Struthio camelus: one gene and its partners. The protein of the gene in region 1 purifies or fractionates together with the protein of each later gene. This does not show direct contact. Links are inferred from orthologs where the notes say so. Each region holds a gene or a part of one and is shown on either strand. Other genes may lie near its edges.

Evidence for each region.
Region 2: the proteins of CDH2 (region 1) and JUP purify together in Homo sapiens (co-immunoprecipitation; 4 studies listed by BioGRID and IntAct, with this or other methods). This does not show direct contact. The link is inferred for Struthio camelus from reciprocal best matches to the Homo sapiens genes CDH2 and JUP.
Region 3: the proteins of CDH2 (region 1) and CTNNA1 purify together in Homo sapiens (affinity purification with mass spectrometry; 4 studies listed by BioGRID and IntAct, with this or other methods). This does not show direct contact. The link is inferred for Struthio camelus from reciprocal best matches to the Homo sapiens genes CDH2 and CTNNA1.
Region 4: the proteins of CDH2 (region 1) and CTNND1 purify together in Homo sapiens (affinity purification with western blotting; 6 studies listed by BioGRID and IntAct, with this or other methods). This does not show direct contact. The link is inferred for Struthio camelus from reciprocal best matches to the Homo sapiens genes CDH2 and CTNND1.

What each region holds. Positions count from the first base shown.
Region 1 is NC_090943.1:123,141,274-123,148,985, forward strand, and holds the start of CDH2 (cadherin-2), read right to left. Parts: upstream 3,006-7,712; 5' UTR 2,386-3,005; coding exon 2,311-2,385; intron 1-2,310. UniProt on the Homo sapiens protein: Calcium-dependent cell adhesion protein; preferentially mediates homotypic cell-cell adhesion by dimerization with a CDH2 chain from another cell. Cadherins may thus contribute to the sorting of heterogeneous cell types.
Region 2 is NC_090966.1:7,328,458-7,336,101, forward strand, and holds the start of JUP (junction plakoglobin), read right to left. Parts: upstream 3,011-7,644; 5' UTR 2,953-3,010; intron 2,110-2,952; exon of another isoform or gene 1,312-2,109; intron 1-1,311. Other genes in the region: P3H4 (endoplasmic reticulum protein SC65), read right to left, coding at 6,601-6,614, 6,700-6,841, 6,935-7,018, 7,108-7,253, 7,354-7,482, 7,546-7,644. UniProt on the Homo sapiens protein: Common junctional plaque protein. The membrane-associated plaques are architectural elements in an important strategic position to influence the arrangement and function of both the cytoskeleton and the cells within the tissue.
Region 3 is NC_090954.1:20,905,397-20,912,301, reverse strand, and holds the start of CTNNA1 (catenin alpha-1), read right to left. Parts: upstream 3,004-6,905; 5' UTR 2,835-3,003; intron 1-2,834. UniProt on the Homo sapiens protein: Associates with the cytoplasmic domain of a variety of cadherins. The association of catenins to cadherins produces a complex which is linked to the actin filament network, and which seems to be of primary importance for cadherins cell-adhesion properties.
Region 4 is NC_090946.1:7,454,279-7,461,198, forward strand, and holds the start of CTNND1 (catenin delta-1), read right to left. Parts: upstream 3,009-6,920; 5' UTR 2,875-3,008; intron 1,818-2,874; exon of another isoform or gene 1,440-1,817; intron 1-1,439. UniProt on the Homo sapiens protein: Key regulator of cell-cell adhesion that associates with and regulates the cell adhesion properties of both C-, E- and N-cadherins, being critical for their surface stability.

The DNA of each region.
Region 1 (7,712 bases):
GTGCTTTAACTTCAGACCTGCCGAGGAGAGTAAAAAGGATGGAATAAAAGCTTAAAACATAATTTGTGCTTTACAGATTTATTAAGAGATAGGAAAGCTAAACAGAACTGAAAGCACATAAAATAAACAGCACATAAGGACTTAAAAAAAAAAAAAAAAACCTGCAGGTATAGGTCTGCCAAGACCAATATTTAAGGAAAAAAAAAAAGGGGGGGGGGCAAGGCCACCCAAAAATCAGCCAGCACAAACAAAACAATCTTTAAAGTGGCATATCAGAAGTTTCTGAACAGGGTGGCTGGTTTCACACGGAGAAGACAGTCGTGCCCAGCCGCACACCTCCCCGCTACGGCGGACGGCCCTATGTCCTCTTAAGACGGAAGAGAAAATCCCCAGCTGCTGCGGATAAATGTTTCAGCACCTTGCTCGCCTGGTGCGAGTCATGAGTCCGGCAAGTGGCTTAGAAACCGTGTAGGAGGAATCAGATGTCTGGGGACCTCGTGAAAGAAAGCGCGCGGGGCGGCGGGGGGGGGGGGAGGGGGGAATGTCCAGAAAAAGAAGGTAAGGAGGGGGGGGAAAAAAAAAACTAAAAACAAGAAAAAAAAAGCAGAGAAGGGGAAGAGCGAGTTCCTGCCGTCCCCTTGTCAGCGGTGAAAAGCCAGGCGCGAAGGCGGGGAAGGAGGGGGCAGCCCGGCTCTGCACCATGGACAGTGACTGCCGCTCACCGCCTCCCCCGGCCTCCGCGGCCGGCGGGAGAGGCCGCCGCCGCCGGGGCACCGGCCCCGCCGCGCCCTCAGCCCGCTCCCCCGGCCCGCCAGAAATGCCCCATCCGCAAATACCATTAAGAGGCGATGATCTGCGCCATCTGTCCCTCAGATTTACCGCCCTCTCCGCCCCCTGCACCGCGCCGGATACCAGCTCCGCAAGCACAAAGCGAGGGGGAGCGGGGGCACCAGCCGCCGGCCCCCTCCCCAACCGCCGCCGGGGACCCTCCCCCCGCCGGCAGCCCCGCGCCCCCGCGACCGTTGGGCAGGCAGCGCCGCGTCCCCTCAGCCCAGGGCGCCCAGCCCGCCCGGCTCCCCCCGAGCACCCTCCTGCCCCGCTCCGAGGGACACCCCGGCACACTGAGGATCCATTTCATCTACATTTCCCCCACCCCCCCGCCACCTCCCACCCCTCCGAGGGAGGCTGGCGCGAAGCCCCCCCCCCCCCCCGTTCCCTCCACGGAAAACCGTTCGCCCCCCTTCCCCGGGGCCTCCCCACACATCATGGAGGCGGGGGGGAGGGGGATGCTCGCTGCTCCCCCACAGCCTGCCCGGGACCTCGCAGCTCCTCCTGGTACGCGAGGAGCCCGCCTGGGCCGCCCCCGGCCAGCGCCCCCCCCCACCCCCCCGCCCGCGAGGTGACAAGACTTTCGATATAAATTAAGTACTTCGGGAGCCCGGGCCTGTCCCAGTGGAAATTCCCGTAAAGGCGGCGGGGGGTGGGGAAGCCCGGCGTCCAGGCGGAGGAGGAGGAGGCGGCGGCGGCGGCTGCTGATTAAATTCTTCCCGGGAAGGGATTAGCGGGCACGGGAGCCGGCGGGGGCTCCCCGCGCCCTGCTCCCCGCAGCCCAGCCGCGCTGCAGCCTCCCCCCTGGGCAGGGCTGTTGCCCCAGCCGCCCGAGGAGAGGCGGGGGGGGGGGGGGGGGGGAATAAGTGGGGTTTGTGCACTTGCACCTACGGCCCCCGGTCCCCGCTTCCCGGCTCGGGGCCGAGAGGGGTTAGGTCCGCTCCTCCCTGTTCCCCGGTACTTCACTCCCCCCCCACCCGCGACACTCAGCGTGGTGCCGAGACGCTACCTCCTCCCCGCCAAAATACACACCGGACCCCCCCCCCCCGGCCACCTGCTTTCCCAAATGGGGGGGGGGGGGAAGTGTGTTTCCCCTTCCCCTCGGCAGAGGCACAGCCACCTACACCCCACCAGCTCTCATGCCGCCTCCCCCCGGCCCCAAGACCCCCCCCCCGGCAGCCCGAGGCTCCGGCTCCCCTTCGCCTGCTCGGCCGAGGCTTCGTGCCCGGCGGCAGAGCCGCCGCGAGCAGGTGGCCCCGTGGCGGCAGACGGGGACCCCCGGCTGCGGGGCAGCAGCTGCCGCCACCCCCCTCCCCCACCCCCGCCGCCCCGGCTCCCGAAACGCGCCGGCCGGCCGCGGAGCCCCCCCCCCGCCCCCCAAAACCTCATCCCATCCCGCCGCCTTCCGCGGGCACCGCCGCCCGCAGGGGAACAAAGAGACGCAGCCCGGCGCGGCTCCCCGCAGCCGCCGGCGGCGCTTACCTGCTGCAGGGCCGCCAGCAGCACCAGCGCCAGCGGCGGCAGGATCCGCGGCGGCGCTCCCGCTATCCGGCACATGGAGGCGAGGAGGGGCGGCGGCGGCGGCAGGGCGGCCCCCGGCAGTCCCGGAGCGCGGCTGGAGCCCGGGGAGCCGGGCACGGCGAGCGGCGGCGGCGGGGGGGCACCGGCAGCTGCGGCGGCTGCGGACGGTGTCTCGCCGCTGCCTGCCGGAGCCGGCTGCCGCGGCACTGGCTGCTTGCGGCTGCTGCTTTAGCTCATGGGCAGCGATGCAGCGGGGGAAGAGAGAGAGACAGAAAGAGAGAGAGAGAGAGAGAGAGAGAGGCGGAGGATGGGTGAAACTCAGCGCTGGGTCAGGCTGCTTTTCTCTCTCTCCTGAGCCCCCTCCGCGGTGCAGAGGGTGGGCAGGGAGGAGGAGGAGGAGGATGAGCGAACAAAAGGCTGGGAGATAAGAAAGAAGTAGTCGCTGCTGCTGCGGCTGGTGCGGCGGCTCGGCGGCTGCCTTCCCCACGCCCGGATCGTTTCCACCTCTCTCCGCCGCCGCCGGGCCCCCGGCGAGCTGCGGGCGGGCGGGCGGCTCTGGTCGGCGCGTAACCCCGGGCGTGCCGCCCCGGCCCTGCTGCGCACTCGCCTTGCACTTTCTCTCTCCCTCTTTCTTCTCCTCCCTCCACCCCTCCCCCCTCCCCGCACGCCAAACCCTCCGCTGGAGCACAATGACAACAATACCCGAGCAGCCTCCGCCGCCCTGTGCGCGCCGCGTGTGTGTGTGTGTGTGTGTGTGCGCGCCCGCCCGGTGCCTGCCTGCCCGCCTGCCTGCCGGCTGCTGCCAGCTCGCCTCCGCCTGCCGGCTCTCCCTGCCGGCCGCACGGCCAGTGGGAACGGCACGGCTCGGCCAGCGGCGGGGATCGCTGCTGCCTGCAAATCGCGCTGCCCCTGGTCGGTGCCGCGGGGCAGCCGCTGTTCAGCGTGCGGCGGGGGCCACGAGTGCTAACGCCCTCCAGCGACAACGCCCTCTCCCCCCCACCCAAAACAATACAAAAAAACCCCACCACGCCAGCCTGGTTAACTTGGTTTGCTGCAATTGCTTGTAGGGCGAGGTGGAAAGAGCGATGGGGGAACTTGCTGGGGAGGGGGAAAGGTGCCGGGCCCGTGGTGCTCCTCAGCGGGAGGGGACAAAAATGCAGGGAGAAACGCCGGGAGGCGTCGGGGGTGCCCTGCTCGGCGGCGACAGCGAGGGGCCACCTGCACCGCAAGTTTCGGTCAGCTCTTAGTGCTTCGCGCACTGCTTTTTTTTTCTTTCTTTCTTTCTTTCTTTCTTTTTTTTTTTTTACCCGTTCCTCCCTCCCGGTCTCGCTACGTTGTTTCCAAACTACCTGCTTAATTTATCAGCAAATATTTTCAAAGGTTTGGCCGGGGCTGCAGTCCGCGGGTCCAAAAAATGTCAGCGTGCATAACGGAAATTGGGAGTGTTGCTGAGCGAACAGTTACAGAAGCAAGTATCAGTGCTGGGTCATTTGCAGAGCTGGCAAAGATTTTCCCTCGCCCACAGGTCACTGAGCAAAGTTGTTTTGTGTCCATGCATCAGAGCTCCCATCCTGGGACATAATAAGGGGAGGATTTGTAGGCATTGGCCCCTAGACAATCTCATACAGCGTTGATCCAAAGTGGTGCATTATTTATTTTAAAAGCATCTTATTTTACACTTGAACTTGCAAGAAAAATACTCTCAGGCTCTGTTGGTTTTTTTTTTCCCCTGCTTTCGAAAATAACGCAAAACGCCATGCTCATATTTTGAAAGAAAACAGCAGATTTGCTCCTACGTTTTGTTGGGAAAGGAGGGGTGAGTGCATACTTGTGCGATGCTGATCTCATTAGCTTCGAAAATTGAAAATACCGGTCATTTGCGAGCTGCGATGCAGCTGTTTAGCCAAGTCAGGGAGAAAAGGCAAGTAAAGGAGGAGGAAGCTGGGCTCCCTCGTAGCGCAGTCCTGCACGCCGCGGCCAGGCAGAGCGGGCAGCGGCCCGCCCGGCCCGCCCCGGCTCGTGGGCAGCAGGACCGACGGGCGGCAGCGCTTTCTGCGCTTCCGTGGCGAGTGTATGCGTTTTTTTGTGCAGCGGCTTTTTTTTTTTTCTTTTTCCTTTTTGAGGGAAACTCAGCACCTGGCTAAGCTCCTTCCGAAATACCTCCTGGATGGGTCGTTTTGGAGGTGGAGAAGGGAGGAATCACCTGAAAGCGTTACAAGCAAATGAGACTCAGCCAAGGAGAACCAGCCTCAACTAGAAAAACACCCCCTCCTCCCCCGCCCCAAACTGTATCGAAGCCAACAGTTGTGAAGAACAATAAATGAGCGAAACTAAGTCTGGTAATGAGTTTCTGGATTAAAATTCAGCCCAGGACTGAGAGAAAGTAAACTACAACGGCACTGCTGATGTTTATATCCTATTACAAGGATGAGTTTCCTGAGTGTGCACCTGACAGAGCATGTGTTCCATCTATTTAGCGATTCTAATGTTTTACCCCAAGCTTTTGCTTAGATTTGCTTATGAAATATTGACTTTCCCTGACTAACAGATTTCATTTGTATTTTCTGGTAGGTGAGCATGATATTAACATTTATTAATTACTGTATTTAAGCATTTATTTAAACTTACAAGCATTCTACAAAATGCAAAGCATATAATATAAAGAACTCCATAAACCAACTCTTCAATGAGAGTCATTACTCATCATCTGATTAAGCCTGGCCCCTCATATTCCTCAACCTGTCCATCCCTAATGGCCTGGGGAAAAAAAAAAAAAAAAAAAAAAAAAGCTCTGCAGCATGTCTGGAAGGTTACCAGATCTGAGCTCTGGCTGATGCTGCTTACAGTTCTGCTGCTGCCACCATTAAATTACTTAGGAGAAGTAGGAGCACTGACAGAAAAATTGCTTTCACTGACACCGTTTTTACTGAATCTTTTAGCCTTGTATGAGGTTCTGCCAAGCAGTTGGCTTCCCTCATTTACGCAGCTGTAACCAAAATCGTCCTCTGGCTTACGGCATTTCTTTCTTCTGAATGCTGTGATCAAGAGCAGCTAATAGACCAGGGATGGGTTATACCTTTGAGGCAAAATCTCCAAACTGAATTGTTTTATAGGTGAGAGGCATATAATTGTGAGAAGTGGGCAGAGAGAACAGAGTGAAGTGGGCAAGAGAGAACTTGTGACTTGTTCACAGACATGGATGACTCCTCAGGGCTTCCACTGTTCCTTTACAGTGGAGGCCCAAAAGTGCAGCTTGTTCCAGAAATAGTCTAGCAATAGTGGACATAGATGGAAATTCAGAATTAGAACTAATACTAGATTAAGATCCTCTGCCCTTTTCACATACGTCATGCACAAGACAGCAAATGATAGTAATTTCTGGCCAAGATTCAAACAAGTGAGTTAGAATTTAAAGGGTTTATGCTATAACCCAAGCACAGACTGCATTTATGAGTGTGTTTAAAGTAGTATAAAAATAATGGATGTAAGTTAACGTTCAGTGTAGGAGATCTCAAGGGCTTCCAGAAAAACCTTGTTAAAATTCCATGATTAAGTTGAAGAGAGGATTAGGATAATTCCCATGTTAGTCATGGAGTTGAGTCTCTCTTTCAACTTGTCCAAATTAATTTTCATTCCTAGGGTTCATAAAAATTCTGTAAAAATATGAATGTTTTCGATTTGGAACATACTAGATTGCTTATGTCATCAATTTTTTTTTTTTTTAAAAACACCTTTTCCCTTGCGAGTCTATCCTTACATTTAATCTGCCAGGTACTGCCACAACTACTTTCCTCGATTCAAATTATGCCAATTAAACATTCTGCTAACAGTTTAGGCCTTGAGCTGACAAACATTTATACTTGTGATCTCAGCAAATTCAGTGATGCTTACACACAGGCATACAACTACTCATATGCCTAAGTGTTTACAACATGGAGGCCATATTCTATTATTTAGAGTTAATAGCAGAAGGATAAACATATTGAGCAAAGGTACTGAGGGCATGTTAATTTTCCTAGGTTTCTTATTTTCCTCATTACTTATGAGGAAATATTTATATTTGATTAAAAAAATAGTTTCCTCATTCTCCGCAATCTATTTTTTTTCTGAGTGCATTCAATTCTTACTGAGTTTTATCACAAGAGTGGAAAAATAGTGGTTATTTTTTAGCGGTTATTAATTATGGTAAGACAAGAGAAAGCTGCACAACATCATGGGCTAACTAAGATTCTTTGGGCTGTTAGAAGAGTAAGAAACACTAACAAAAACAAAAATTCAACTTCTTAGGACAGTGGCTTTCAGCTTGGCTCTGTGGACCCCTTGAGCCCCCATACTGATTCTGAATAGTTTGTGACAGGCAACACGGAAAAGCTATTTATATAGTCTATACAGCAACTTCACACATGTAAAATTCCTAAGGGGGGAGTTTTTTCTGAATTGAGAGATTGTTAGTGGTTGGCAACACTTGAAATGATTGTTTTAGGAAGCAGATAATCATGTATGGTCAGAGAGACTGCAGTTTTATATAGATAGTGTCAAATGGGAAAAAAAAAATGAAATGACACAGGTGCCAGTATACAAAACAGCTTAAATATTTAAAAATTGAGATAGTAAAAACGTCTTTTCATTACTTCAGTAAAATAAATATGACCCTTTTAATTATCCAATTTGAGTGTTCTTTTCTAAATATACTGTTCACATTGATCACTTATATGAACTGAAAAAATACAGCTCCTAATTGTCCTTTTATAGAGGGAAATTGTCTCAGGAAAAAAAAAATACAGTCTTAGGAGTAGGTAATCCTTATCTGACCAAATCTTCTAGTTTATTACCTAACTTAACTAGTTTATCTGCATGCGCTTTTCTGGCGCTGTCCTTTTTGTATCTGTTTACCTAACATGCATAGACCTACATGTTTCTCCAGACTGTTTTCTTACATCTCCATAACACAAAGACAATGCACGACATGGAAGGGTAGCTGAAGCTGCAGCATTTGGTAGGATGTTCTGCTTGGATCTGAAAATCGGCTAGATTAGGATGAAAGAATGTTGTATACAGCATTTTTATTTCCGCCTTTGCAACTCTCGCCAACAGAAATCTCTTAATTGCTATATGTAGTGATTCGGTGGAAGGGGACAGTTGTTCTTTGTGATAACTACATCATGTCTGTCACTATAGTTATGTTTCTGTTAATTGCTAGTACGTGTTGCAAAAGACTTCCCTAGGGAGAAGCTAAGAGTATGTAATCCAGACATAATACAACATACTTATGTACAGCATAGTTTGCTTTATATATATACACTATGTATGTTAATTTGGGAATCAGTGTGGTCAAGCTCAGCACATGTAATTCATTCCTCCAG
Region 2 (7,644 bases), on another chromosome or scaffold:
CACAAGAAGTCCAAGGCAAACTTGTGCTGTTTTTCTAGAAATTGGATTTCTTTTTAAGTGCTGCTAATTAGAAGCCAGCCTAATTTAAGATTTCCAAGACTGGTGAAGTCACGGTACAGACACTGCAATTAAAGTCTCACAAGCTCCCCGCAAAGAGCCTCTGCTCCCCGTGCAAAAAGCAGGCGAAGCGGGGCCACGGCCAGCGTCGCTCCCGAAGGCTTTGCCACCTGCGAGCAGCAGCGCGCCAGGCAGGACCATTGCCTTAAACCCCAGAGATCTGGGAGCACGATAAAAAGCCAAACACCATCGAGTGCTCCCACCCCAAACCACAGCCAGGAAGGGAAGCCATCGTCACAGGAATAACCTTCACCGAAAAAAGCCTCCCAGCTGCAAAACAGTTGCCTACTCCAGCTGCTAGATCTGATTAAGGATTTTGGGGGGGGGGAGAGGATAGAATTAATGGGGATTAGGACAATGCTGAATATTAAGGTTAAAATACAGCGCTGGGACCAGAGGTGAAATTCTTCAAGGTCTCCAGCTGCAACCAAACGGCGAGCTGCCAGCGCCACCGAGGCCAATGTTTGAAGTCGGAAGCGGAGCGCCGGCTCCTCCGGACCGCGCCAGGGACGCACGCGCCTCCCCGGAGCCGGCGGCGACGCACCCGGCACAGCAGCGCCCAGACAATAGACCATAAAGTCTATTGTTCGAAAGTGACTGCCGCGTCGCTGCTGCACCGACTCCGGCGGGTCGGAGCAGGGGGTTTCCAGCAGCCACTTTTCAAACTCCTGGAGCAGGGGCAGCTTGAAGGACCCAGGTGTCCTGAAGACGGCCCCCCATCACTTGTGCTAATGCAGCTGAGAACAGCGCACAAGCCAATTGCCTTCCCCCCCCTTCACATCTCAACCATTTAAGCCAAGAGTTTTTTACATTCCTGTCCTAATGGCCAACTCGTTTAAGCCAAATCTGCTGTAAAATGGGTTTTTCATGACACTTCATGGAACTCCTCCAGAGCAACAAACAATTACAGGCTTCACTTGCACAAAGACAGTTTAATTGGGCATTCTGCACTTTTACTCCAACAAACATCAATAAAAGACGCAGGAAGGGACCTTTAGACCTCTCCAGATCCATTACCGGAGAACGACGCATCAAGCAAACGCCATCTCTGCCCGTCTCCTCCCAAGAAGCAGGGCATGGGCCAGCCTGGCCACACATCCACGTCCCAGCCAGGGATGCACCAGGCACAGCCCCAGCTGCAGACCCAAAACACCAGCTCCTTCCTCCTTCCGAAACACCAACGCCAAACGTTACCTGGGGGAGCAGCACTGCGTGAGGTTTGCTTCCCGTCCCGCTTGCGAGCTACGTCCACCCAAGGGGTTTCCGACCCCCAGGGAGTAGGTGGACAGCAAAGCCCGATCAAGTCCTACCAGGGATGACGCAGCTGCGGCCGCCCTGGGCCCCAGGGGACCAGCCAAGGACAGGCGGTGCGAGCCATCGCGGCCCTTCCCTGCTTGCAGGCACGGGGCTGGCGCTCACGCGCTCCTCTCGCGGCAGCAACGCCTCTCTCCAAGTTCCTCGTACACCAGCCTACGTTTTTTCCTCCCCAGGCAACTCCCAGCAATGTTTCAGCATTATCCTTTCATCTGCGCCGTAAACCTGATTAATTAAGCTAATCACTTTGCTAACGCAATTAGAGCCCTCGCTCCTCTCCAAATGCCAAGCAAAAATGACAGCAGTTTCACCCCCTCTCCATCTTCCTAGTTTCCCTGCACAGATCCTTGCTGTCAGCTCCTTGCAGGGGTTTTGGCTGGGGAAAAACTCCTTTTCTCTGCCAGCGGGCAGCCCCACTCGCAAACTTTGGTGCCGGCGAACCTCGGTGCTTCGCAGGTGCACCAGCTTCCCCGGGGAAAGCGCTCTGCAAATACCACCCGCCACGGCGAGCACCCAGCGGGGTGGCGAAGCCTGCGTGACTCGCAGCACGCCAGCCCGGGGCGCACCCCACGCGCGGCCGCGGCTCCACGCCAGCGCCCCGGAGCCGAGCGAGGCGCGGGCGGACCGAGGGGCCACGCCGAGGACGGCGGCCGCAGTTTGCAAAGTCGCTCCTGGAGTAAAGGAGCCGGAAAGTCCGGCCGGGCGCCCCGGGGGGGGGGATCGCTGCGGGCACCGGTCGGACCGGGTCTGCAGCGCACCCGCCTCGGGGGCTTCAGCTTGTCACCGACCCCCCTTCGGGGGCGACAATTCCCTCTTTTATACATATAGTATTTTATAATATGTATTTGTATATATAAAAGGCAGCTTCGCTTCAGCTCTGCCTCTAGCGGGAGCCTCTGCCCCGACCCCCGGGGGGGCCCCCGGCTGCCGCCCGGCCACTCCCAGCCCCGGACGCCGGGATCCTCCCAAACCCAGGTTAGGGCGAGGCGCTGCCGGACACCGGGATCCTCCCAGCCCAACCCCAGCTTCAGCCGGAGCCCGGACGCCGGGGCCCCCCCTCCCCACCCGGTCCGAGCCCGGCCGCTCCCGGACGCCGGGGCCCCCCCTCCCCACCCGGTCCGAGCCCGGCCGCTCCCGGACGCCGGGGCCCCCCCTCCCCACCCGGTCCGAGCCCGGCCGCTCCCGGACGCCGGGGCCCCCCCTCCCCACCCGGTCCGAGCCCGGCCGCTCCCGGACGCCGGGGCCCCCCCTCCCCACCCGGTCCGAGCCCGGCCGCTCCCGGACGCCGGGGTCCCCCCTCCCCACCCGGTCCGAGCCCGGCCGCTCCCGGACGCCGGGGTCCCCCCTCCCCACCCGGTCCGAGCCCGGCCGCTCCCGGACGCCGGGGTCCACCCTCTCCGAGCCCGGACGCCGGGGCCCCCCGCCCCGGTCCGAGCCCGGACGCCGGGGCCCCCCGGACGCCGGATCCCCCCCCCACCCCCACGCCCCGCCGCTCCCGGCCGCCCGCTCCCGGCCGCTCACCTGCGCCGCCGCGGCCCCTGCGCGCACACTGGCGGCCGCCCCGCTCCTGCCCGAACAAAAGGCGAGCAGCGCCCCGCGCCGCCCCGCCCCCGTCCCCGCCCCGCGCCCCGCCATTGGCCCGCGCCCCCGCCCGTCACGCCCGCGGCGGGCCGGGCGCCGCCACCGCCCGGACGTGTTTATCGGCTCCCCATTGGTGGCGACGCGGCCGCCCCGCCCCTCGCCCGTAGGTGATTGGCCAGCGGCCCGGCGCTGGGCGGGGAGGGCGGGGCGCGGCAGAGGGCGGGGCTGGGCGAGCCCGCGGGGGCGGGTGGGAGGGGGAAGCGCACCTGCGTGACGTCAGCGGGAGGGCGGGGCCAGGCCAGACCGGGGGTGAAGGGGCGGGGCCCGGACTCTCCCACGGGCAGGGGGCGGGGCCTGGGGAGGGGCGGGGCCTGAGCCCCACCTGGGCGGGGGGGGGGAAGGACCCCCCCCCAACCCGGGGCAGATGCATGGGGTGCAGGGACCCCCGGGGTAGGCAGGGACCCCCGCCCATCATGTACAGGGGGTGCAGGAGCCCCCCCTTGGGGCAGGTGTGTGGGGCAGGGGTGGACCCCCTGGGGGACGTGCATGGGGTGCAGGGACCCCTTGGGGGCAGGGGGCAGGCAGGGACCCCACTGATCACATACTAGGGGTGCAGAGACCCCCTTTGGGGCAAGGATGGACCCCCTGAGGGACATGCATGGGGTGCAGGGACCCCCTCGGGGGGCAGGCAGGGACCCCTTTGGGGCAGGGGGGACCCTTGGGGGCGGTGCAGGGGGTGCAGGGACCCCCTGATAAGCTCTGGGGGGTGCAGGGACCCCCGCCCCACGAGGGGGGCAGCTCCCGCTTCCCAAGCTTCCTCTGCGGCCCCGCAGCCGCTGAAGCCCCCCGCGCGCCGCCAAATCCATCGGGGCTGCAGCTGCCTCGTGCATTATTTATGGCGTTTGCATCGAGCCGCCCAGAGCCGGCGGCGCGGCCGGGTCCGGCCGGGGGGCCTGGAGCATCGCCCGGCTCGGGGAAGGGTCCCCGTGCAGCCCGGATGGGGAAACCGAGGCAGGCAGGCTGGCTGGGGGACCAGCCCCCAGGGTGGCCTGAGGCGCGCCGGGGAGGTGACGGCCGCCTGCGTCACCCCGTCCCGGCAGGACTGGTCCGGCCGGGCCCCGTCTTCGGCGCGTCCCACCTCGCTCGCGGCCCCGGGGCGCAGCCGCCCTCACCCTCAGCGCCCCCCCGCGCGGGGCGGGCAGGAGGCGTCCCGCATCCCGCCGCGTCCCAACGGGAACCCCCCCCCACCGCCGCCAGCTGTGCACATCTGCGCCGCCCCCGCCCCGGCGCGCACATCTGGACGCTCCCCCTGCATCTCCTTCGCTTGCTGGTCGCGTTTCCCCCTCCCAGCTCAATCCGGGCGGAGGGGCTTCGCGGGGCGGCCGAGCCGGCCGGGCTCCGGTGGCCTGGAATAGCCCCGGAGAAATCCCCGCCGCCGCCGCCCGGCAGACGGCTCGCGCTCAGCTCGGATGCGTTTCCTGGCTGGCAGCGAGCGCCGGCTCTTCCAACGCCTCCGCATGCGGAGGGGGGAGATTTCGTCTCCGCGTGCGGAGCGGGGACCCAAAGCTCCCGCGGCGCCGGCCGGCCCCGCACCCGGGACCCCCCGCGATCCCCCCGGGGACAGAGCTGGGTCTGGGGTCTTCATGGGGCCGGCTGCGATGTCAGGTGACAAAAATCCATGTGTGCCCCTTCCCGGCCAAGGCCAGGAGCGACAGGCAGGCGGCGGTAACCCCTCCGCCCGGCCCCGGGGGCAGCAAGGGGAGAAAAAGGCTGAAAGCCCCCCAAACCCCCGTGCGGATGCTGCGCCCGGGCAGGCTCGGCTCGCCGCGTGTCCGCGGCCCCGGGTCAGACCCGCAGGCCCTGCAAAGGGCGCGAGCTGAAGGCTCCCTGGCCTGTCCCACTTCTCCCAGCGCATCCCGGCTTTCCCGGGATGTCCCCGCTTTCCCGGGATGTCCCCGACCCGCGCAGCGGCGGCAGGACGACGGGCTCGACCATCGCCCCTGCCCTGCCGGCGCGTCGCCCCGCGGCGGGGGCTCGGCTCGCCGCCTTCGTCCCCGCCGTCACCCGCCCAAGGGAGCCTTGGCCCCGGGAGGGCCGGCGGGGAGCTGCCCAGCTGCAGCCCGCGTTTCCCCTTAGCTCTGCCCGCCGGAGCTGGGAAGGGCCCGGCTGAGCGGGAGCCGCATCCCGGCGTGCCGAGCAGGGAGGGGTGCGGGCAGCCTCCCGCCGCCCCGTCCCACCCCAAGGGCGCACGCTATGATTCAGCCTCTTGGTTTCAGTCCTGGGAGCCAACTTCCAAAGGGAGCAAAAATGCGCCGGGCTCAGCAGGGAGGAGCGCGGCGGCCGGGGCGCGGGCTGGGCCGCGGCACCGCGCTGCCGTCGCGCAGACGCCCCGGCCAGGGCAGGCGCGGGCTTGCCGGCGGCACGGCGGCGAGGAGGGCAGCACACGCGCCACCGCGACGTAGCAGGGACCGGGGCGCTTCCCGGCTGCAGCCCCCCGGCCCCGGTCCCGGAGCGTTACTGGCACCGGGTGCTTTTCCAGCCCGGGGCTGGGCAACTGTGTCGGTTCCAGCCCCTTAGGGACCCTCGACCCCAAATAACCCCCAGGGTCATGCACACACCCCCAGGGCCAGCCGCAGGGCGATGCATGCACGCTCCCACCCCAAATAACCCCCCGGGTCATGCACGCACCCCCAGGGCCAGCCGCAGGGCGATGCATGCACGCTCCCACCCCAAATAACCCCCCGGGTCATGCACGCACCCCCAGGGCCAGCCGCAGGGCGATGCATGCACGCTCCCACCCCAAATAACCCCCCGGGTCATGCACGCACCCCCAGGGCCAGCCGCAGGGCGATGCATGCACGCTCCCACCCCAAATAACCCCCCGGGTCATGCACGCACCCCCAGGGCCAGCCGCAGGGCGATGCATGCACGCTCCCACCCCAAATAACCCCCAGGGTCATGCATGCACCCCCAGGGCCAGCCGCAGGGCGATGCATGCACGCTCCCACCCCAAATAACCCCCAGGGTCATGCACGCACCCCCCGGGGTGACACATGCTCCTCCCTCCCTGAACGCCCCAGCCTCTCCCGCCTCGAGCTCCCGGCTCCGGCGCCAACGGGAAGCGGAGGCAGCCGTGAAAACACCGGTCCGGATTTTATTAAAAGTTCAGCACCAGTAAATAAAAAAAGCAACCGTGGAAGACGGGAAGTATTAAATTAACGGAGCTTCAGGCTACGGCGGGCTGGCGGGGGGGAAATCCAAGGCACACGCGGGGCATGGGCGCCCCGGCCCCTTTCCCAGCCTCCCGCCCCTCCGGCTCCTCCGGGATGAAACGCCAGCGGGGAGAGGCCGCTCGGAGCGGCTCCTTCGGGGAGGCGAGGGGCCGTGGCGCATCCCGGCACCGCCGGCAGCCCGGCTCCGGGGTCGGGGCAGCGCGCGGAGGTGGCTCGGAGGCGCCGGTGCTCCGCGCCGGGAAGGGGGGCTCCGCCAGGGGCCCTGCCGCCGGATCAGCCCTTCCCGGCGCGTCCGAGTCTCCGCGCGGGAGCCCGAAGCCCGGCTCCCCGGGGCCGCGGGCCCCCTCGGCCTCGCTCATCGGAGGGTCTCTGCAAGGAAGGATCGCCGTTAGGTGCAGCGCGGCGGCCGCCCGCGCCGCCCCCAGCGCCCCGGCCCCCCCCCGGCGCCAGCAACCTTGGTCGGCTTTGTCCCCTTTGGTCCTGGGCTCCTGCCACCACTCTGCCACGAAGCCCTCCTCGTAGTCGCCTTCGCCTTCGAACTCGCCGTCCGAGGGCAGGTCCCGGGCGTCCGGCTCCTCGCCGCCGTCCACCTCCATCTGCAGCAGGGAGACGGGAGGAGGGAGGGCCGGGGCCGGACCCCCTTCCCCGCCGCGGCGCCGCTCCGGGGCGCTCGGGCAGACGGGACGTACCTCGTCGTCAGCTTGCAGGTACTGCTGGGCAAAGTCCAGCATCTGCTTCTGCGTGGCCGTCTGGTTGTGGTAGCGCACGGCCTCCTGGGCACGGGGAGGCAAGGGCAGGGGCGGCGTGAGCCCCGTGGCACCGCCGGACCCGCCGGGGCTCCGCACCCCGCCGCGGCGCTCACCGGCCGGGGCTGGAAGTCCTCCTCCTGCAGGCGCCAGCGCTGGCGGTGGAAGCGGTAGTAGACCAGGTTCTGCTGCATCACCGCGTCGCCGGGGTCGAAGAGCATGTAGCTGGAGACGCTCTGCACCGCGTTCCTCACGTCGTTCACTGCGCGGCAGCGAGCGTGGGACGGGGGCCGGCCGGCGGGCCGGGACCGCCACCCGCCCGCGGGGCCGCGGCCCCCTGCTCCCCCCCGGGGGGCACTCACGCTTGTAGTAGGCGAACTGCAGGTAGTGGTACATGGTGGCCACGAACTTCTCCACGAAGTAGCCGCCCACGTTGGGGGTGAGCTCGGCCTCGCAGTCCACCTTGCACCGCAGCACGCTCACGAAGTGGTCTGGGGAGAGAGGTCAGGCGCTGCGCCCCGCCGCCCCCGCCGCCCCCCGGCCCCCGGCCCCACCTGCGATGGCCGGGTAGAAGTCCTTGAACTCCTGCAGCTCGTAGGAGCCCTCGCAGCCCGCCAGGCAGTTCTCGTAGGCCTTGTAGTACTCGGCCAGCG
Region 3 (6,905 bases), on another chromosome or scaffold:
CAGTCAAGAGATGCCAGTAAAACAGAAGCTGCAAGTCCTTCAACGGACTATCTCAGCCATGTATGTCCTCGCTCTAGACTAACCTTAATATCTATGCTTAGTAGATCGGGTTCTCTGCTAAATATTTTTGTGAGTTTAACTAATTCTTTTCATAAGAAAGGATATTATAGAGCAACAGTATGTATAACTTCCACACAGGCCAAAGTTCTACTAAAGCTTATTTTCAGCTCATAAATATCTCTACTAAGGCGGACTCTTTTGCAAGATCAGTTTCTGGATCTTACAGCTGCAGAAGGAAGAAATTTATGAAGCTGAAATACACAAATTACTTTTCTTTTATAGCTTTCAGTTAACTTGATCTGACTAACGGAAGTCCTACGAATAAACTGCATATTAACACTTGCCATTATACACGTTTTAACACCATCTCAAAGGCTGATGCTTTACAAAGTTTGAAAATTTTATCAGAGGTAAATATTTGCTTTGGTATTTAAAGTCATCAGTTTGGGTGCAGTATTTCTAATCTTGACCTAGTGTACTCCTCCCTGTCACCGTGGGTAAACCTTTAATCTCTGATGCAGACACCTATTATTAGAGCCAGCTGACAAAAAAAAAAAACCTGACGGCATTTTGTTTATTATCAAATACATTACAGCAAAGTGTTTCTAAAACAAAAACTGAACTTTCATCTGTTTCTCTTAAGAAGAGCCAAAGATATTTCCTTTATGTTTTCAAAACTGTTTTCCACTAAAGAAAAAAACAGAAAATGACTCAACTTAAAATAATGCCCTTTCAAGCAAGAAGATTCAGTTCAGCAGGAAGAGAGAAACAAGTCTTCTAAACACTTAACGCTGCCTGAGCACACAAAGGCAAACCAAACAGCTTAGCGTGCTCCAGACAGATACGTGGCAATCTGCCTTGTACCTGAAAGACCACACATATACTGCAAAGTAAGCTTAGCCTTTCACCTACATTGAAACCCAGACTAACATCCCCACAAACTAGCCCAAGAGCTGAAAATAAACTAGCACCTTCAGCTGGGTTTGAAAGTGCTGTAAGTCTGATCTAGCCAGCATGACTAAGGATGTAGGTTAGAATCAAAGCTACAGTTAGCAGAGCCTCTCCTACCGCCCCCACTTCCCTACTCACAATGCAGTTTAAAAACAAAACAAAAAATACAACCAAAAACAAAACAAAACAAGAAGTACAACAGGACCGACAAAAGACTGCAGGGAGATCCTAGACTATTTCAATAGAAATAACCATAAACATGCCTTGAGTCATAATTGTGAATGCTGGAATGAGAACACAATAATGGACGCGCATAACTCAGACGAGGCAAGTGGATTATTGATCACTCACGCTGACATAGCGATAACATACACACTGCCTTGCGGGTAAGGCAGGCAGACCAACGTGAGAGGAACAGGGAAGTAAGCTTCGACCACATCTAATTCTTGCCTAAATATAAGAGACTAACATACTTTTTTGTCCTCCACGTATTTTCAGCCTAAAATATTTCACACCCATTGAACTAATGTGAAAGGGACTAACCAAGAATAGCAGGCCAATATGTATTAGTCAGTAGCCCACAGGCTGCAGGGATGAGAGTTGAGGATAAAACAGTGACTGAAAGCATTGATGCAGTCTCTCTATTGTTTAGATGTAAGAAGTGGCATGAAACTTCTGGTCAGCAGAGAAAGGGTACTTGTCTTATGGCATTATAGGTGGCTATCAAAAAATGTGACATGGCTAAGTTAAGGGAAACGGGGTGTTCTGGGATGAAGAGAAGTTGCACTTTACGTATTCAAACACAAACACCAGTTTGGGGGAGAACTGCATAAGCTTGTTTTAGCTGCATCACAAAAAAATCTGCAGGTAGAACAGAGAAGGAAGAGCATACCAGTGTTGTCAGCACCAAACCCCAAAAAACCAACAACCAAAAAAAAAATCAACTCATCACAAAACTGAAGCAATCAAGCAACGCTTTCGGTAACCCATGCCAAGCAGCAAGATTCAACTCTGCAAATAGTTGCCTGGGGAACCACGTAGAAGATGCCTGTACCTGACTGCTGCCATGGCAGGGACCGGACAGGTTCACCTAGCCGTGCCCAGCAGCTGTGGAAAGTTTTTTTTTGGTGCGTTTTTTTTATTAAAGCAAAATCCCTGCTCCCACCCGAACCAGTCCGGTAACTGCGGCTGACAGTCTTCCAGCCCGATCCGTACTGCTGCTGGAAGCAGAGAGCTCTTCTTTGAACAGCAAGATAACATTAATCTACTCGTGCCCAAAAAAGCCACCCGCCGCCTGGCCGCTCTCCCCACAGGAGCCTCCCGCCCCCGCCGCGCCCGGCAGCTGGCTCTGCCCCCGCCCCGGTGCCGGGCAGGGCCGCACCGCCCGGGCGCAGCCACGCGGAGCCCCGCCGCGGCCCGGCAGGCAGCCCCGGCCCACGCCCCGCCGCCGGCGGGGAGGCGGCGCGGCCCGCTCCGCTCCGCTCCGCGGCGCCCGGAAGCCAGGCGGGCAGGGCCGGGCCGGGCCGCGCTCCCTCCCCTCCGCTCCGCGCTCCGGGCCGCCGCCGCCGCCCGCGCCGGGACGGGGCCGCCACGGGGCGCCGGGCCCCGCCGCCAGCCCCCACCGCCGCCCGGGGGCCCCTCCCGGCCGCCCGTCGCGGGGGCCAGAGCCGGGCCTGGGCCCCGGCCGAGCTCGCCCAGCCCAGCCCGGCCCGGCCCGGCTCGGCGCGGCCAGGCCCGGCCGCGGCGCCGCGAAAAGTTTCCCAAGTCGGAGGAGCGGGGCGGGGGGAGGGCAGGGGAGCGGGCAGCGCCGCCGCCGAAGTTACCGGGAGGGGAGGAGGGGGGCACCCGCCGCTGGATCCCGGGCCCGGAGCCGCCGCGGCCGCTTTGTCTCGCTCGACGCCGCTCCCGTCCCGAGCCGGAGAGAGGAAATCGGCTCTTCCGGGCACCTCCCGCCTCCCCGCCCCGCACGGGTCCGGCCGGCTCTTCCCGGCGCCGCCCGCCCGCTGCCGCGCGCCGCCCCTGCCGCCCTTGGCGGCACCGCCCGCCGCCAGGTGAGGCGCTGGGCGCCGGCCCCAGCGGCCGCGCGCGCGCGCGAGGGGCCCGCCGGCCGCGCGAGGGGCCCAACGGCTGCGCCCGAGCCCCAACGGCCGTGCAAGGGGCCCAACGGCTGCGCCCGAGCCCCAACGGCCGTGCAAGGGGCCCGACGGCCGCGCCCGAACCCCAGCGGCCGCGCAAGGGGCCCAGCGGCCGTGCCCGAGGGCCCCAACGGCTGCGCCCGAGCCCCAGCGGCCGTGCCCGTGCCCGAATGGCCGCCCGCGAGGGCCCCAACGGCCGCGCCCAAGCCCCAACGGCCGCGCGCGAGGGGCCTAACGGCTGTGCAAGGGCCCCAACGGCTGCGCGCCCGGCCCCCAGTGGCCACACGCGAGGGCCCAATGGCCACGCCTGGGCCCCGACGGCCGCGCGCGAGGGCCCCGACGGCCGCGTGCGAGGGGCCCCAACAGCCGCGCGCGAGGGCCCCAACAGCCACGCGCGAGCCCCAACGGCCGCATGTGAGGGCCCCAACGGCCGCGCCCGGGGCCGAGGGGGCTGCGGGCGGCCTGTCCCCGCCTCAGGCCTCTGCCAGCCCCCCCCCGAACGGAGCCGTCCTCGTGCCCCGACCCCGCTCCTCGGGCGCTGCCGGGACCCCAAGCAGGGCGCCCCCAGCCCTCCCCCCGCTGCGCTGCCCGCCGGGCGCCGCGCGGTTTGCGGCCCTGCCGGCTCCGCTACGGGCCTGCAGCGGTATCGCTGCGGTTTCTCAGTGGCCAGGCCGTGGGGTTTAAACCGGTCTTCCGCTTTTTTGGTTTCAGTGGTTGCACAACCAGCCCGCCTCGCGCTCGCTGTGATTTCTGCACGCCGGAAGCGTGAACTTGCTCGAAACCACAGCCTTTCCTAGCAGCACAGGGCAAAAGGGCAGGTTTCCCAGCTGCTTCTTGTGTTCCTCCCCCACTGGCCCATACTTCTGGCACCTTTGGTCAACTTCCTTCTAAGGTAAAATGAACGTTTTAGGTCAAAACACTTCCAGGAATCAAAAATCTTCTAGCTGCCATCAGTGAAACTTAGAAGAACTGCGTAGTCCCCCAGGTTTACGACGGGAAATCGCAGAGACGTTCAAAATCCATGCCGTGTCCGTTGACTGGGATATTAACGAGCTATAATTAATCTTTCGACATCTGATTTGTGTAAATCAGAAATGGAGATACAGACCATGCCATACGGACCCCGCTGATGGTCCCTAACCAAAGTCTGATACAGCCTTTAGTCTTCCGGGCTATCGCAAGATACAAGGTAGCAAATCTATTGGAAACGGGTGGATACGTGATATCAGCTTCGCTGGGAAAAGGGAAAAAATGACAGCTCGGTTCCTCTTGGGTTTTATAAATTGCTGTTTTCTTATGAAAACCTAATGTTGTATCTTAACATTTCTGAGAGTTGTCGCTTTTCAAAAAATGTCTTGTTTTCATGCAAATGTCTCTAATAACAAGCATACAGAGGAAAAGCAATAGGGGAAATCCATGACATAAAAGGGCTGTCAAGCTGTGATAATGCAAGTGTGGGAGATTTCAGAAACGGATGTATGCTATTTTAAATGTCTCCTGGAATCCAAATGCCAGAGCCTCCATCAGAAAAGGAGGAGATTTTAGAAACTTAACATTAATCGAATTGAGGTCAATCTGTAGATCTGGAAGTTGTCTTTACACAGTAATTTATTTCAAAGGTTTCTTTTTTCAAAGTGTCACTGAGTCTCTTGTGTGAGGAACTGGCCGCTTTCATTCTATACCCAACGACTTGGGGGTTTTTTTTGTAGTACACTTTGAGATTACTTTTAATACAAAGGTCTCCACAGAACTTGTGCTTGTACTGGATTGCAAAACCAGTCAAATAAAGTCAATATGTTTCGTGACTCATTTGCCAACATTTCTAAGATGCCTGAATCTACTTGCTCCTTCCTTTGATATTAGTCAAAATCTAGAGAGACTGGGAAAGCCTAGCAAAGAGTATATACTGGAGCTATCTAATCTAGTTAAGGTAGACAAAGCAACCCATGCTGGCTCTCCAGGGGCCGTGCAATCAGGCTAGTGCCATCGCGGAGGAATGCAATGCTTTAGGACTATGATTTTCTTCCAGGTCTTGGCTCCGTAAAGTCAGCAAGACCATGCTTCCTATTTTTGCCCTGCCGCTACAAGCCTGTCCTGCGGGAAGACGGACTGTGGCCTGCAGCATCTTAGATTGCATTTTGTTCTCCCCACCGGTTTAATCCAAGAGGTTAGCAAGCCAGAGAAATAAGCATAGTGCCATTGTTTTACAATCCGTAAAGAAAATAGGGATCAAGAGTCCAGCCCTGTTATGAGAGAAGTTAATCGAAAGAAAGTGAAGTCTGTAATTATGATGCTGGCTGAGATATAAGTTATTAAAATAATATAGAGTATTCAGTGTCTCAGCAAACAGACTTTTTAAACAGATGCTCCTCTCTATAAGTGCAGAGAAAACATGGATTTTTTTAAAGATTTTTGTATTTCCTGCTTGTACCAAACCATTAATATTTTGGTGTCAGTTGCACCAGGGATTCAAACTACTCATTTCTGATCTGCAGCATACTCTCAATAAAATTGAGTTTACACTTCAATAGCTTGCTTTCTTTCATTACTCCGTTTAATATCATGCCTTGGCCTCCTGTGGTGGCTTCCACATTCAGCAGTTTTGCACGTCTCACATCCTTTCAGGGCAAAATGTCAGATTAAAAAAAAAAAAATCCCTTTTCAAACTACAAACTCAAAGGTAGAAGGCCTGGCGTTCTGGAGAATCGCACTTTCTGTACCGCACTGTTGAAACGCGAAGCAAAAAGTAGAAAATTAGCTGGCAGCTCCGTCAGTTCATGGATCATCAAGTTAAAAGACTCAGCAAATAAAAAACAAAATTATGTAAAAACAGAGTCGGCTAGGCTTAGATTGGACTTTGTCTCTTAATTAACAGCTCTGTCTGGAACACGGTAGCAGGCTCTGTCAAGGAGACAGAAATGCAAGGTGTTGTTTAGACAGGCACCCGGAACAGTAGCTAACACTTCCAATCCAGTGACTGTCATTAAGACAGCATCAGGCTGTGCTGGCAACCTGAAAACCAGTCCCTTTTTTGAAATGAATTAGAAGTTTTCCACCTGACCCTGAATCTCCCTTTTAACAGTGTCTGTGGTTTTGTAATCCCATTTTCCTGGTTTTAAAAAGTTTCCCTTTTTGCTGGATGAAAACCAAACGTAAACCAGGGAAAAGGACAAGCAATGAGGGGAGACTGTTACAGTGGTGCTGCGTGTATGTTGTTAAGCACACAAAACAAACAAATGCTTTCATTCTTCGCTCTGTGACGGCAACTCTGCGCCTAGTCCGTAAGGGTACAAAGTGGTTTGTGATTGCACACCTTGGGCAGCATGTCTGTGTTAGTCAGCAGTATGCGGAAGGGCAATCCCTGATATTGCCACTTAAAGATACTAGTTCAGGTGTAGTCGCTGTAGAAAAGTTGCCCTTTTGCTATTGTAACCTGGGGGAGACTTATATGCCAGCCAAGGAGGTGGTTGGTTCATATAGCACCTGGCATGACCATGTTTTTTGTTCTTCCCAGCACACACCGGGTCTAAATGCTGTACTTTTGGCAGGAATTGGATTTTCTATTTCTGGGACAACAATGCTGAAAATAAAATAGGTACGCCATGCATACGTGCATGCCTGCCTTGTTTTGGAATGCATATTTGATCTTTTTATATTTTAATAGAGGCATTTTAGTTTTGTTATTTGTGAGGCTGACTCAGGGTTGAAGCAGAAGTAAGGACTATTGAGATAGGACTGCTGTGGTGAGAGACGGTAATG
Region 4 (6,920 bases), on another chromosome or scaffold:
TGCTGGGAGTCCCCAGTACACTAGTTCTGAAAGAACAAGTTTCCTCCAAACAGCCTCTTAGGCCTGTACAAGAACAAAAGCTGAAGAGGAGGTTGTGGCCACCTTGGGAAACTCCAGGACTTTGGTCTAAAGCCTGCAAAGCCAGTCCCTTTCCAACAGCCTCGTGTTGAGACACATTCTTGCACTGTGTGCCAGAGGACGGTTTCCTCCACCAGCCAAGCCCTGTGTCGCACACAGAGCTCTGAAGCTGCCTGAATCACCCAACAGGTTTGGTTTTGTCACCTCATCCAGGCAACACCTGCTGCCTTTTATGGACCCAAACCAGCCTGGTGCTTCCGCCCCTCACTGTCAACAAGGCAGAAATAAGGAAAAACAACAATAGAGCAGGGATTAAGGGGTTTTTTTAGGCCAGGATAAAAGCTCTGCATATCCCTCAAGACAGTATCACCACAATCTTGAGTAAGGGCTCTGCGCTTGCCAGTAGTAAAAGGCCAGACAGTTATGATGGGTTGCTGGGAAGAGAAACCAAGAGATTTAACTAGGACTCTTCCCTAAGGCTACAGGCACCGGTAAACTATTTTGAGGACTCAGCCTTCCAGGCATGATCCAAGCTATGCTACGCTTCGCTGGGCGTCCTAAACCACCCCAATACAAACACAATGGATCGAGGTTTTATCTCCGTGTCAGAAGTTGAAGGAGGGAGAGAAAACAAGGGACGCTTGATTGCAGGCTGGGCTGAAGCATCTGCCTCGGACTCTTAGTCCGTCTTTAGGGAAGGGAGGATCTCGAGGGCTACCGAACCACAAAGATCTGGGCCTGACCTCAGAGTCAGACGGGAGGAGGCTCGCCCCTCCGCAGCAGCCCAGCGGAGCCCAGCAAAGCCGTCCAGCACGCTCCACTAAACAAGCCACTTTCATCCTCCCACCCCTTCCCGGAAGGCTCCTTGCAAAATTCCAACAACTGCTGCACATCGCGAAGGACAGTCATTTGCATGCAACCGAGTCCCAGCCAAGTTCAATCAAGTGTAAAAAAAACACACTCCTTAAGTGCATGAGTAAACAGTCAGAAACAAGTAAGAGAACCTGCCTCAAGTGCCGAGAGCAGGATGGTACAGACAAGGTAACTGGGGAAGCCGAAAACATCCCCCGTTAGGGCTCTTGCTGACATAGCTTTCCACAGCTCTCCTGCTGCACCAGGGAACCCTGCCTCCAGCCGAAAGCTGGGGCCACAGCAGGCCCCGGGGAGCCGTGACGCACAGAAGCATGCACTGCGGGCAGCAGGAGACAGGAGCGAGCCACCACCAAACACTGCGACTGTCCCCAGCTGCTCTCTCCTATCTCCCCACATCCAGAGCAGCGCCCCGGAGAAAAAGAGCAAGACACTGAAACAGAAACCTCAGACTCGAGCAGTAAACACCGGGTATGCGATTCCCACGGTACCTGGGTCCTGGTGGTGCTGAGCTTCAGTATTTCGCTCCCTGCCAAGCTGAGGACAAGCCTGTTTTCAACTCCACATCAAGTGCAGGGCAGCCAAGTAACACCACAGGCAGGACAACAGGTAAGAGACCAAGCAGCAGACGGCTGTACTTCACATACCACCACAACGAGCCACGTGCCTAGATGGTCTCAGATGTGCCCAGACTCTGCCCTCTCGCTTCCCAGCGGCCGGGCAGAAGAGCTCTGTGCAAGGCTGGGTGCCACAGCCCCAAGACAAGGGTGTCCAACTCTGCCGCGAGCACGCCACAGACTCTTTCCCAGGGGAAAGGATAATCCCGGCCCTCCAAAAAAAAAGCCCTGCTCACCCCGCCGTCTCAGGAGTCCCTGCTTTGTCACAGGCTTCGTGCAAGAGCTTGGGCACGGAGCCCTTCCCGGGGAGGGAGGCACCTCCAGGAGATCCACCCCTCTCGCTAACAATCAGAGGAAGCTTTGTTGTCCGGGCTCCCTCACTCAAAGCCCAGGGGCATAGCGGAGATGCCCAGCATCCCTTCTGCAAGGGAGGCAAGCGTGCCTGTGCCTCTCTCTCTCACCGCTGTCCGAGGGCCACCCAAACTTGATTGCGTTTACCCCAAGATAAGCCTCTCCTCCGCAACACTCCCAGAGCCCTCACGTTGCAAGAGAAAGGCAGTATCAGAGAAGGTTATCGACTCCTAGCACAAAAGGCAGCGGACGGTGGGGAGGGAGGAAGCAGATCTCTTGCTAAGTGACAGGGCGGCCAACGGGAGCTGAAGAAAAACAGCCTGCTGAGCCCGGGGCTCCGGGGAACTGACCGTGGCAGGGCTGTTCCCCACCTGGAAGCGTTTCGGTGTCACCTGCCAGCCAGGCGGACACGTCTGGTTTTTAAGATCAGAGCTGTTCTATTCAGGGGACCCGCTGCGGGAGAAGAGGGTGTGTGGGGGGGGGGGGTTGTGCTCCACCCCACATACTTGACCCTCCCTAGGCACAGAAGTCCCCTTCCCCGCGAGAACAAAGGCGCAGACAACCGAGATAGCGGCAGACAGGCGAGCAAGGCAGATAAGAGAGTTTCCAGCTCGCCAGGGCGCTCCCCCACCCCCCTGCCCCGCCGGCCCCGAGCCCTCCCACGCAGCTGCCAACGGCGCGGCGCAGCCCCGCCGCCCCCCGCCCACGAACGGGCCGGCGCGGCCCCCTCGCTGCCCGCACGGAGCGGGGCGGCGGCAGCCCCGGGGCGCTGGCACACGCGCGCCCTTTGTCTGCGGGCCGGGCAGCGGCGACACGCGCGACGCTCAGCCCCGCGGGGCCTTTGTGCCCCTCCCTGCCGCCCCCGGCGGCAGCCGGCCCCGCGGCGGCTGCTCCTTCCCCCCACCCCACCCCCGGCGCTGCCGGCCCCGCTCGCCCCGGCGGCGGCGGCGGGACTTACCGTGGCCGGTCCTCGGAGGAGGGTTGGGGGGGGGGGGGGAAGGAAGGGGCGGCGCGCTCCGCGGGGTCCCGCCGCGGCGGAGGCGGCGAGGAGACACGGGAGCGGCGGCAGGACCGGGCGGCGGCCCGGGTGCCCCGCCGGGCCGGGGGGAGCGGAGCCGGGAGCGGGCCGGGGCCGGCAGGGAGGGAGGGAGGGGGCAGCGGGGCCGGGCCGCGCCGTGCGCCCCGCGCCGCTCCCGCACCTAAAATGGAAGTTGCTCCGGCGGGGCGGGGCGGGGCGGGGCCGCGGGGCGGGGCCGCCCCCGCGCACGTCAGCGCGCCGCGAGCCAATGGCCGCCGCCCCCGGCGCCGCCCGGCCCGCCAATGGCCGCCGCCATTGTAAGGGGGTCCCGCCGCGGCGGGGTGGTAACAACGGGGAGGGGGGCGGGGGCTGCCTCAAGAGGGGGGATCCTGCCCCCAAGGAGGGGGGATCCTGCCCCCAAGGAGGGGGGGATCCAGCCCCCAAGGAGGGGGAAACCTGCCCCCAAGGAGGGGGGATCCTGCCCCCAAGGAGGGGGGGATCCAGCCCCCAAGGAGGGGGAAACCTGCCCCCAAGGAGGGGGGGATCCTGCCCCCAAGGGGGGGGGATCCTGCCCCCAAGGAGGGGGGGGATCCAGCCCCCAAGGAGGGGGGGATCCTGCCCCCAAGGAGGGGGGGATATCTGCCCCCAAGGAGGGGGGGATATCTGCCCCAAGGGGGGGGGGATCCTGCCCCCAAGGAGGGGGGAACCTGCCCCCAAGGAGGGGGGGATCCAGCCCCCAAGGAGGGGGGGATCCAGCCCCCAAGGAGGGGGGAACCTGCCCCCAAGGAGGGGGGAACCTGCCCCCAAGGAGGGGGAGGATCCTGCTCCCAAGGAGGGGGAGGATCCTGCTCCCAAGGAGGGGGGATATCTGCTCCCAAGGAGGGGGGAACCTGTCCCCAAGGAGGGGGGGATATCTGCCCCAAGGGGGGGGGATCCTGCTCCCAAGCAGGGGGATCCCTGCCCCCAAGGAGGGGGGGGGATCTTGCCCTAGGGGCTGTCTTTGCTCCTGGGGGGTGGATCTGCCCCCAGGAGGGTAGTTGCCCTTGGTAGGTTATCTGCCCCCAGGGGGGATCCTGCCCCCAGGACGGGACGTGCGCCAGGGGCGAAGAACTGCCCGGCGGAGGAGCTCTGTCCCTGGGAGGAAGAGCTGCCCCCAGGGCAGGGGGTCCGCCCCCGGGCACAGCAAGCTGCTCCCCGGGCTGGGGCTCTGCCCCCCGGCAGGAGCGGCAGGGCGAGGAGGTCTCTGGGCAAAGCCCTTCCCCACCTCGGCAGCTCCTTCGGGCAGAGCGGCAGCGGATCCCCCTCCCGGCCTGGCACGCGCCCACGGGCCCTGCGCGACGGCCCCGGGCCCTGCGGCGGGGAAGGAGCGTACGCGGCACCCGTGGGGCTCAGCCCTCCCCGGGCTGGGGGTGGAGGAAGAAACGCGACAGTAGTCGGGGGGGAACTCCCTGGACGTGGGGCGACGGAGAAGGGCGGCGAACCCGCCGTGGGAGGCGATACCCTTGCCCCCTCCGCGGAAAGCCCGCAAACGCTCGCGCGTGTGAAGCACCACCGCTACCCCTGCGGGCCGCCTCCGAAGCCCAGGGGATCATCGCAGGCCGAGCCTGTCTCCCATCCTGCCGCCGGACCCCCGTGCGCCCCCCCAGGCCCTGCTGCCCCTCCGGATTTGCGTGCGGCGGCGCCCTGCCCCATCGGCTTGCGCTCTGGCAGCCTGTGCGTCATGCTTGGCTCAGGAACGCTTCCAGGGGCTGCTCTTCCCATTAAAGTTTTCAGTTGTTTCTTACTCCATCCCAGCTCCTTTTGCCTCCCCCGCCAGCCGCTGCCTCCGTCCTGACAAAACTGAGAGTTTGAGAGCGATCCCGATAAGGCAAGATGTGGCTAGCAAGGGACTGACGCAGCCCGCGCCGGTAACGGGGGCTGCCTCGCCTGCGTGCGACCCCCTGAGACCGCGGGTGGAGGAACGCAGCCTGGGCGGCCGGGGCTAAACACCTCATCTAGACGTGGGTGACCTGAAGGCCCAGCACCAGCAGGCGCGTCCCCGGTAAGGGGAGCAGGGGCGGATTTCAGAAAGCCCCTTGCGTGGCCAAGGCCGTGTGGGCCGCCGAAGGACTGCAAACACAGGGAATGGCTGTTACGAGTCCCATCAAAGCAAAGATGAGATAAGCCATTGGGAAGGGGTCTAGTGGGGAAGGCGCGGGGTCTTCGCGCGCCGCTAAAGCAATCGCGCCTTTCACAGTAGACTTGGAAAGAATCAAACGCAAACAACAACCCAGCTAAATTAATCCTGCTTTGCCCCCTCTTCCAAGGTACTAAATCAAACAGTGTTGCAATCGCTGCTGGGTCACAGAAATAATACAAGGGGATCTGGGTAGATACAGAGAGCCGGGGCCGGAAGTAGCAACAGGAGATTTAATAATTACAGCTAACGCAGCTGGAGAAATACAATTCCGAAATGCCGTACTCCACAAAAGAGAGTTACTCAGCTTGGCAAGGAAGTGGCGCCACTTCCCAGGGCCCAGGCTCCGCCGCTGACACTATATGGGAGCTGATTCAGAGTCGAGGGTGTACTGATAGCTCAAATGGGAGACCGGCAGCCTCTTCTTTGCTGTAAGCACTCTCGCACGCGCACCTTTGTGCTCTTCCAGTAACGGAGATTTTCCCCTTTTTTAACAAAGGTCTGGAAGCGATGCAGAGCCTGCCTGTTTCCAGGTTAAGCGTCACTCACCTGAGAGAAGTCCTGATCCAGATCCCCCGAAGGTGACATTCATCCACCTTGTCTCTGGTTCTGGGCTGGCTGGATTCAGTGACTGGGGAGAATCCTGTCGGGTCCTGAGTGCCAAATTACTAGTAAGATAACGGCAGGAGGAAAAGAGTCGATTAAAGTCTTGGGTGGGGATGGGTGATTCTAGGAGTAAATATGCATAGCCTGGTTAAGCAAGGAGGAGGTGGGGGAGATGCGATAGCAGCCTGCAAATGTTTGAAGAAGGTAATCCCCCAGCCAGGGGTGGAGGTTGCCGAGGGTGCTGCAAAAAGGCCTAAGGAGGAGAAATGGGATTAAGTTAACGTGAAGGACACATTTAGAGAGATTATCAGGGCGGGCGGGGGACTCCCAAACCCTCCCTGACGTTACATCAATAAAACATTCTTCAACGTGCTGGCTGGAAAGAGAGCAGGGGCGGGGGGGGTTCAGGGATGGCGGGACCTCTGCCTCTCACAGACAGCAGGAGGTTTCTCTGTCCCACGGCACAGGCGAACTGAGACCTTCTTCCTGCGCCCCTTTCGTCCTCACCCCTGCCTGATCCTCGTCTCCCAAAATCGGGAAGACACGGCCCCCCTCAGCCCTGTGGCTTGAGTGAGAACTGCTCCTGGATCACGGCTAATCCCTCGCTGCCCTCCTCTTTTCCACGCGAGCCACTCGACGCGCTGGAAGAAGGCACTTTTGTGAGTTGGCTGGACTTGGCCAGGGAGTTCAAAGATACAACGGGAGGTACAACAGGCTCGCGGTGGGGCGCACGCGGGAGCCTGGCACGATCACACAAACCTTGTGCCTTCAGGAAGCCAGGCTTAAAAAGCCAGCCATGAAACCTACAGCATCGTTATGGTGGGAGTCACCAGATGGAGCTGTTCCACGTCAGCTCACAAATTATTTCAATCCACAGGTGGATTTCGAGCGTTGCCTCCAGTGCCCTTCTTTCACCCCATCGCTGTCCCAATTTGCCCAGGCTGCGTGACAGGGAGAGCTGGTCTCCTGACACGTCTCTGCCCCTCAGGGGAGCGGGTGGCCAAGAGCAGGGTGCTCAAACCGTGCTAGGCTTTGCCCCGGAGAAAAAGCATGAGGCACACACGCCGCGCGCCCCGACACGCGACAGGGGAGAGCGCGCGGCAGACGGCTGCCCCTGACACGGACGACAGGTAAGCGGCCACCAGCGCACAAAGCCTGGGGCGTCCTTCTGGCGTGCCTGATACACGGCTGCGTTGCTGCTGTT